Arabidopsis thaliana: one gene and its partner. The protein of the gene in region 1 interacts with the protein of each later gene in a pairwise test. Each region holds a gene or a part of one and is shown in the gene's direction. Other genes may lie near its edges. The genes, in order: ATMRK1 and AT3G14710.

Region 1 (5,254 bases):
CGAAGAAGTTGGCGAAGAATAAAGAGAAGAAGAGAGTCAACGCAGTGCCATTGGATCCGGAGGCTATCGACTGCGACTGGTGGGATACTTTCTGGCTCCGAAACTCTTCTCCCTCAGGTTCTCCTCTCTCTCCTTCCCCGCTTTTCAGCCTGATTTCAGTTTAATTCCTCTTCTCCCCCATCAGTTACCACTAGTCAATGTCGTTTTGCTATTGCTTGACTAGATTGTTCCATCCTTTTGATTCCATGCTTTTGTAGCTCCTCTAGGGTTCTTTGAATTGAACCGAGAGATTGTTGTTGTTTTCAGTCCCCTCAGACGAAGACTATGCGTTCAAGCACTTCTTTAGGGCTTCTAAGACAACTTTTAGCTACATTTGCTCGCTCGTCAGGGAGGACCTTATCTCTAGACCTCCCTCTGGTCTCATCAACATCGAGGGAAGGCTTCTTAGTGTTGAGAAACAAGTCGCCATTGCTCTTCGAAGGTTAGCTTCCGGTGATTCTCAGGTCTCCGTTGGTGCTGCCTTTGGTGTTGGCCAGTCCACTGTTTCTCAGGTACCAATCAACCTCTACTCAGCTCCCTATTTCCCTGATTTCAATATATATATGCTGTATCCTGACACCATCCATTTGTTTCCCCAGGTTACATGGAGATTCATCGAGGCACTCGAAGAACGTGCCAAGCATCATCTTAGATGGCCAGATTCTGACCGAATTGAAGAGATCAAGTCAAAGTTCGAGGAGATGTACGGTCTCCCCAATTGCTGCGGAGCCATTGACACTACGCACATCATCATGACTCTCCCGGCTGTGCAAGCATCAGATGACTGGTGTGACCAGGAGAAGAACTACAGCATGTTCTTACAAGGAGTCTTTGATCACGAGATGAGATTTCTCAACATGGTTACCGGCTGGCCTGGCGGCATGACCGTCTCCAAGCTTCTCAAGTTCTCTGGCTTCTTCAAACTCTGTGAAAACGCTCAGATTTTAGACGGCAATCCTAAAACTCTATCCCAAGGAGCCCAGATTAGAGAATACGTTGTTGGAGGGATCAGTTACCCGCTTCTTCCCTGGCTTATAACTCCTCACGACAGCGATCATCCCTCTGATTCCATGGTGGCGTTCAACGAAAGGCATGAGAAGGTGAGGTCAGTCGCAGCTACTGCCTTTCAACAGCTTAAAGGAAGCTGGAGGATTCTGAGCAAAGTTATGTGGAGACCAGACAGGAGGAAGCTACCTAGTATAATACTGGTGTGTTGTTTGTTGCATAACATCATTATCGACTGTGGGGATTATCTTCAAGAAGATGTTCCTTTGTCTGGTCATCACGACTCCGGTTATGCAGACCGGTACTGCAAGCAGACCGAGCCGCTTGGTAGTGAGCTCAGAGGATGTCTGACTGAGCATTTGCTTAGGTGAGGATCTTAACCTTGGGAATTGGACATCTTCATCTCTTCTCTAAGGCCGTACTAAGCCCGTTAGACCATTCAGCATCAGTTTAGTGGTAGCCCGAGACATATCGGACAAAAGCAATGTTATGAAACTTTTCTTCAGGTATCAACACCAGATTAACATCATGCCAGTTGGACCTACAAAAATAGATTCATCCTTAAGTGTGATTACCATACTTTGTGAACTACTAATCTTTTGAGAGGAGTGGACTATATCCCCAACGGAACTGTTTGTTTTGGCAATGTAAATGTTATTTTTTTAATAATAATTGGTGTTTTCTTTTAGTATTGAGTTGTTGGGTTCCATTATATTCGCTCTCTGCGTTGAAAAGTTTGTGATTCTACGGAAAGGAATATGCTCTGGTGGATGCGTCTCGGTTTTGGTTCTTTGTGCTCACAAGTAACGACGGACGAAGATTCCCAACAAATTCACATGACAAACTATAAACTATAGTCTATAACAAATTACGTAATCTGATTTATTTCTTTATTATGAATTACACAATTAAATACAGTAGTCATCTTAAAGAGAGATTATTACAGTGGACCTTTTGGTTTCGATAGATTGCGTCACAAACCAAAAAGGTTATTCATTTCTCGATGTACAAATATTATTAAAGTCGAATGTAAATTTACAAGAAATTTGGGGGAAACGAATAAACGGCGACGGAAGGGCTGCCACTAGACCGAGAAGAAGCAAAGACAGACGAGCTCTGTTTTTGCAAGAGAGAGTTTTTTATAATAAAAACTGGAAAAGGGCAACAAAACGACTCTTTGGCCGGTGAAACTGTCAAAAAGACATTAAGACTTGGTCTCTCTCCCACTGCACCGCCGATCCTTCTCTACTTGTCAAACTATAAAAGAAAAAGAGTATTTTTTTTTGTGGAGACCACCACCACCACCTTCGATCGATTTCTACTAACTTGTTCTTCTTCTTCTTTCTCAACTCTCTTGTCTTTTGTCTCTCCACCAATTTTTTCTTGTTCTTTCTCTCTCCACCACATAAAAAAAAAAAACCTAGCTTTGTCCCCTCAACTCACTGATTGAACTGCTTGATTTTCGATTGATCATCTGGGTGGTTTTGAATCGAAGAGTATTGTTGTATTAGTGGCTGGTGGCTCTCCAAAAGAGTAAGGCCGGAGAGAGAAATCAATGGCCTCTGGCGGCGGAGAGGCGGATAAATCACTTGAAATCGGGTCCGGGACCGCGGATCCCAAAATAGGCGGTACTGGGAGCAGGAGCGCCGGAGAAGAACGATACTTCAGGGCAGATACACTGGATTTCAGTAAATGGGATTTGCATATGGGTCAAACCTCTACTAGCAGCGTCCTCACCAATTCCGCTTCCACGAGCGCTCCCGCACCGGCGATGCAGGAATGGGAGATTGACCTCTCCAAACTCGATATGAAGCACGTCCTCGCTCACGGTACTTACGGCACTGTCTACCGCGGTGTCTACGCCGGCCAAGAAGTCGCAGGTCCGTCTTTTCTCCTAGACTAAGATATATATGATTCATTAGGATAGACACTGGTGGTCTTTTTTGGGGATCTCCCGTCTGATGGATGTTATGGTTTGCTGCAGTGAAAGTGTTAGATTGGGGAGAAGATGGTTACGCCACACCAGCTGAAACTACAGCTCTCCGTGCTTCCTTCGAGCAAGAGGTCGCCGTCTGGCAGAAGCTCGATCATCCCAACGTTACCAAGGTATTCTTTTTACATTCACCGATTAAGGTAGAAGAAGAACCTTTTGATCAAAGGACTTATTCATTTGACCTCTCTCTCTCTGTGGCAGTTTATAGGAGCATCCATGGGAACCTCTGATCTGCGGATCCCTCCTGCTGGTGATACTGGCGGACGTGGTAACGGTGCACATCCTGCGAGGGCCTGTTGTGTTGTGGTTGAATATGTTGCCGGAGGCACGCTTAAGAAGTTCCTCATCAAGAAATATAGGGCCAAACTACCCATCAAGGATGTCATTCAGCTCGCTTTGGATCTCGCTAGAGGGTAATCTCTCCTTTACTTTATGTTTCCTGATTTGCCATTCATTTCTGAAACTATTCAGACAAAGATGCTTCCTTTATCAACAAAACTCTTCCTACCTTTTTTCTTTGTCTCAGGCTTAGTTACCTCCACTCCAAGGCGATTGTACATAGGGACGTGAAGTCAGAGAACATGCTGTTACAGCCTAACAAGACGCTGAAGATCGCTGATTTCGGGGTAGCTAGAGTTGAAGCTCAGAACCCTCAAGACATGACGGGTGAAACTGGAACACTTGGATACATGGCACCAGAGGTATGTAATGTTGTTCCTGTAGAGTCAAAATCCTTGTGTTTCGTAATAGGAAAGATGAGAATGTTAGCTTTTGTTGCATAGGTTCTTGAAGGAAAGCCTTACAACAGGAAATGCGATGTCTATAGCTTTGGGGTATGCCTCTGGGAAATATACTGCTGTGACATGCCCTATGCTGACTGTAGTTTTGCTGAGATCTCTCACGCCGTTGTTCATAGGGTTCCTCTCTCTCTCTCTGTCTATACATACAATCTCTCCTATGTTAAAGCTAATCAGGAAATCTAATGAAGTCACTGTTTGGTGCATCTTGCTCAGAATCTGAGACCAGAGATTCCGAAATGCTGCCCGCATGCGGTGGCAAACATCATGAAGAGATGCTGGGACCCGAATCCAGACAGGCGTCCGGAGATGGAGGAGGTGGTGAAGCTGCTTGAAGCCATAGACACAAGCAAAGGTGGTGGAATGATAGCTCCGGACCAGTTTCAGGGGTGCCTCTGTTTCTTCAAACCTCGAGGCCCCTGAATCTCTCTCCCTCTCTTTCCTTTTTGCTCCGTGTCTGATATATTCTTGAGAGCTGCGTGATTCTTTGGATTTTGTATTTACTTTGAGCTATGGGAGTTGGATTGGTGTGGGTTTTGTCATAAGAATCTTTCTGCGCTCTATGTATTTATATACTTAACACAGTCGTGTATAATTCGATTAAGCTTTATTTTATTTTTTGATGTTGATTCGAATTTCATATATACACGACGCACACATGCAAATTGATCATCAAAATCTGATAAGAAAAAAACAGAGAGTTAAAACTTACTTACAAGAGGGGTCTGAAGGAAACATAGAAAAGGATTGGGCCGATACTGTTATTAGTATTCAAGATAAAGGTCTAAACCTACAATTTGTAAACAAAATTAGTACTAAAGATTTTGAGTGTTTCTCTCTACAGTTTTTTGTGTTTATCGTATGTTTCACACAGTACACGCTTCAGTGGGAGTTGTTGGGTGATCGGTCCGAGGCGACATACAAGATGACCGGAAACTCTTTTAACTCGATGAAAGATTTCCTGAAGCAGACAGGCGGCTATGCGGTAATAGACGGAGGGCTTGCAACGGAGTTCGAGAGACATGGAGCAGATCTCAACGATCCTCTCTGGAGCGCCAAATGCCTTGTCACCTCTCCTCACCTCATTCACACCGTAAGCAGTAAATCCTTTTCTTCTGTTGTCAGTGAAATCTGAATCCAACGTCCAGCTGCGGGACAAGGCCTTGTGCTTTTCTTATTTTGGGTGTGAATAAACCCTAGGATTTTTAGGTTTACTTTGATTGATTGAGTAAATGCCATGGGTACTCTAAAGGTGGATGAAGTAAAGCATTCTCATTTCCATCAATGGTTGGTTGCTCCTTGGACGTTTCAAGCAGATTTAGAAGATTACTGATTCAACTGTTGTTATTGACAATATTTAAAGCTGTAAACTTGTGAACCCTAAACCCCTTTCTAGTGTTCATGTTGCTCCATTGTGTGG
Region 2 (4,200 bases), about 18 Mb from region 1:
AATTGTGCTCAACAGTGCTCGCCTAAAATCTTAGAATCTCTTGAAATTTTGAAACAGAGCACCAATAGAAAAATCGATAACAACATTGGAGATTCCCCAAAATCATCGCTTCAGAACGCCCTACGGTTTGACTCGCTAAACCCCCACCCTCCGGAACCCTAATTTCAGAGAACAAATCGAGAGATCAACGGCGAGATTCGCGACAAGGTTCTGACAGCGTTTAAGTTCGGACTGAACGACAACGCTGTTAAGTGTTCGACTGTTGGTTTTTACTTTTTACTCTTTCCGTTTATCTAAACGACGTCGGGTGGTCCTGCGCTTGAGGTGAAAATTCAATTTATTGGCTTTGGGCTTGAGGTGAATTCAATTTTATTGGTTTGTGAAAACATGTTTAGATATGACCATGTTTTCAAAAACCAAAAAAACTAGACAAAAACATCTCCCAGACTATTGCAATTTTTGACATAAAACTAGTCTTTTCTCAAGTTTTATTTGGAAAAAAAAAAAACTACTTTAATCCATCGGATCTAAAGTTTCTGATTCCAAATCCGGATAGTTTTTCTGGTTGGGCCTTTTGTAACTGGAGAGCTACATGTAAAGTTTAATAGCCTTCCCATTTGAGAGAATTATAGTATTAAAATTATTATGTTTTTGTTAAAAAAACTACTTTCATATTTTCCTCTAAATATAATGCACGGTATATACCCTGACGTGGATTTCGGCTTTTATTTAGTTTCGGCTCGTGCGGTGCAAGGAAATTCTTCTAGTCATCATCAGCCACCAAAACTGGCTTCTCAATTAGGGCTCTTGGTCAATCCTTAAAAGTTCTATTGATTTTCATCGACTACACTTTTTTGGCGAATTTATGTGATTGAAGTGGAATCTAAGATTGAGGTTCTTTGTGGTCTTCGGTTCTCGATACATCATCATAAGGTATTGAAAGTTAATTTTCTTATTCTTGTTAGGATTTCTAACTAAGATAGGTCAAAATATAACCTAGATCTCTCGTATCTCTATCTATATATACGTCACAAGGTATTGAGAATTCACTCATAGCTTCTGAATTTCGCGGTGTCGTGTTTCTGTCTCATCATCGGGGTTTTGATAAAGATGTCTCAGTCCAAAGTAGCTATGAAAAAAGATTCGATGAGGAAGAATAAGAAATTGGTTATAAATATTGCTCTAGATAAAGAAGTTCTTGCTTCGAGAGTGGAAGCTGATCATGATCTTGGTTCTGTAAGAGATGAGAAAGAGAGGCTTGAATCATCAGAGAGACGAAGAGAGGTTTGTTCCAAAGCTGAAGATATTGTTGATAAGGCCATTGATAATCATTCTAGGGTTAGAGGAGATGGGATTATGCGGGAAGCTGATGTCGGGACAGGGTTATCGGGCGCGTTAAACCGTCTTAGAGAGCAAGGAACTTTCAAGGAGGAAGGCAAGGTTGTTGGTGTTAAGGACAATAATCATGAAGATGACAGATTCAAAGATAGATTTAAGGATATACAGATTCAGAGGGTGAACAAGTGGGGAAGGATAATGACTGAGAAAGAAGCGTATCGGTCACTGTGTCATGGATTCCATGGGAAGGGACCTGGGAAGAAGAAGCAAGAGAAACAGAGGAAGAAGCATGAAGATAAGTCAAAACAGATGGAATCTTCAGAGAGATCTGTGGAAAGAATAAGAGAAATTCATGCCATATCCAAGACTCCTTACATTGTTCTCTAGTCATAAACTTCTCTTTGATTACGATAATCTCAAAGACATTTAATTAAGAACTTCATAAATTTGGTATTTTGCTTTGATATTCTTAAGAGTTCTTGGATGTTTTTACATCACATAAAACATTGCTTTTCACCTATATATGTTACCATTTATTTTGGTATAATCTAACGTTTTTGCATTCTTCTTTGGAATTATATTTTGGTTTTATTAGGGAAACGATTTTCAATGCATCCCGAGACAGAGCAAGCCTGTTTAGTTCCATCTTCCAAGAAGACTAAGCTATGCAGTGAGAACTTTGAAGACAAATTCAGCAGCTTGCTTGAGAGTGTTGTTAGCATAATTCTTAGTCAACTTCCAACTGCTGAAGCTGTTAGTACTTCTGTGTTATCAAAGTCATGGAAGAACATTTGGACAAACATCACAGATTTACATTTTGATGATACAAAGCAGAGGGATCCGAGTGATTCTCGATTTACTGACTTCGTTGAGCGTGTGGTTGGCGACATTGGAAGTCCGCACATTAGCAGTTTCTATCTATGCTCTGTTAATACTTTCGATGAGACTCTTCTCTTCTCGTGGTTATCAAAGGTACTAAAGCGCAATCTTCAGAGACTTGTTGTCACTTGCAACGATCTAGAGATCATCAGTTTTTCTTCACTTTTTCCTAGTTTTGTTTCGCTTGTGGAGTTAAGGCTCCGTACAAAAAGCATTCTTGACATTTCGGCTCCCGCTATTCTCCCGAACCTTAAGTTCCTTAGTCTCGAGGATGCTAGAATCTTCAACATGTCTTCTGTCTCAAAGAACCTCGTTCTGAACTTTCCTGTCTTGGAAACTTTTGAAGCCTCTTATTGCCGCTGCTTTAGAACCGATACTGTGATCATAGACTCTCCATTGCTTAGGATCTTTGAGATGTTCAAGTGTACATCTGAACACGTACCTAATCCTTCTCAAGTGTGTAAGATCAGGGTGTTAGCTTCAAAGCTTGAGAAAATCACATTCTGTGGAGACGAACCCCGAAAAATCCATCTGTCTTTTCCACCGTCTTTACCTGATGCTTATCTTGCCCTCAGCAGATCCGAGTGGCCCAAGACGTTTCTACGTAGCTTCACATGCGTGACGAGTTTGGCTCTCGTGGTTAGATAAAAATTACATTACATCTTCCTCTTAACTTTTCAAAGCTTTTAATGGCTCAAGTCACTCACAACTCTTTATCTCAATGCCCTTTCTTAGCTTAGCAAGGATTTTCATGTGATGGCAGTACCCAAATTCAGCCAGTTGGTATACCTGCATTTGATATACGACATGACACAACATTTTAGATTAATGCAGTTCCTTAAATCCGCACCAATACTCGAGATGCTCAGCATCCGCGTAAGTCTTAACTATATCGAATGTTGTGACAGTACCAATATCTTTTCTCTTTGGCTGATCTTGCCCTTTTCCGGTGAAACAACCAGGACCTGACATCTCCTCGTTCAACACCTACTGCAAAGTCCTTGAAGGAACTACGTTCAGTAGAATCTCCGGATTGCGTTACAACAATGCTCAAAGTCCTGCAGATCAGGAACTTTAAGCCAAACAGGCTACAGATATCAGTGTTGAGGTACGTGTTGGACAATGCTGAGATTCTTGGATCAGTCATCCTTTCCTCGCCCAATCCAATCACAGAAGAAGAGAAAGCAAGAATCTTGGCTTTTCCTAAAGCCTCTCCCCATGCCTCTGTCTTGTTCGAATGACCAAAAGTTGACCTTTTGCAATTCTCAGTTCCTTGTGGGTTACGGCAAAGTTATTATCTTTGTTTCGATCATCACTGAAACTTTGATATTAAAACTCTATGTGGATTCTCTGATTCAAAGAAAAGAATATGCCTTTTGGACAAGTTTTAAAGACAGAAACAAGTGTTGTTGATGTGCCCTTAACCACATGCAACTTCTTCTGCCACTCCCACTTGGACCACTTCTATGCATTATATTATGATTTGTTTATATGATGCAGCATCCTCTATTGTCTTCTTTTATCACCTAGTTTATTGCATTATTTTTTGTATAGTAATATAATTATTTAGACTAAATCTTATGATAAGAAATGGTCCTCTGTTTTTCTGGTTTTAAAGATTGAAAAAGAAGTTTTGGAGTTATGTGTAAAAGATACTTTTATTTTAGTTGATGTAATAGGTGACACAAACTTATTAGCGTAATAATTTTGATAGTGATGTGTTTTAAATATTGAACTATAAATTAGGTTCGTTGATTTTAGAAGGCCACCAAACAAAACAAGAAAAAGTTCTGCTTGGCAGAGATATTTCGGCTCTTATAATTTACACCACTTTAGAATAAATCCAAAATCAAAGAAAAGTTATGTTTCATGTGGTCGATTTTGTCATCTCTACTGTCTTGATTGTTTTAAACGGTAAAAATAGTAAGTGAAAACAAATAGAAAAACCGTAATTTATGATCATTCTAGTGGATTTCTGTTGGT

What was found.
Region 2: the proteins of ATMRK1 (region 1) and AT3G14710 interact in a protein complementation assay, tested with the Arabidopsis thaliana proteins (one large-scale study listed by BioGRID).

What each region holds. Positions count from the first base shown.
Region 1 is NC_003074.8:23,372,093-23,377,346, reverse strand, and holds ATMRK1 (Protein kinase superfamily protein), read left to right. Parts: upstream 1-1,941; 5' UTR 1,942-2,599; coding exon 2,600-2,924; intron 2,925-3,028; coding exon 3,029-3,150; intron 3,151-3,238; coding exon 3,239-3,450; intron 3,451-3,563; coding exon 3,564-3,738; intron 3,739-3,801; coding exon of another isoform or gene 3,802-3,819; coding exon 3,820-3,954; coding exon of another isoform or gene 3,955-4,020; exon of another isoform or gene 4,021-4,050; coding exon 4,051-4,257; 3' UTR 4,258-4,466; downstream 4,467-5,254. Other genes in the region: AT3G63270 (nuclease), read left to right, coding at 1-117, 307-551, 639-1,415; AT3G63255 (uncharacterized protein), read right to left, coding at 3,802-3,974, 4,061-4,175; HMT2 (homocysteine methyltransferase 2), read left to right, coding at 4,760-4,927.
Region 2 is NC_003074.8:4,939,598-4,943,797, forward strand, and holds AT3G14710 (RNI-like superfamily protein), read left to right. Parts: upstream 1-1,883; 5' UTR 1,884-1,947; coding exon 1,948-2,856; intron 2,857-2,952; coding exon 2,953-3,093; intron 3,094-3,179; coding exon 3,180-3,458; 3' UTR 3,459-3,467; downstream 3,468-4,200. Other genes in the region: AT3G14700 (SART-1 family), read left to right, coding at 1,111-1,725.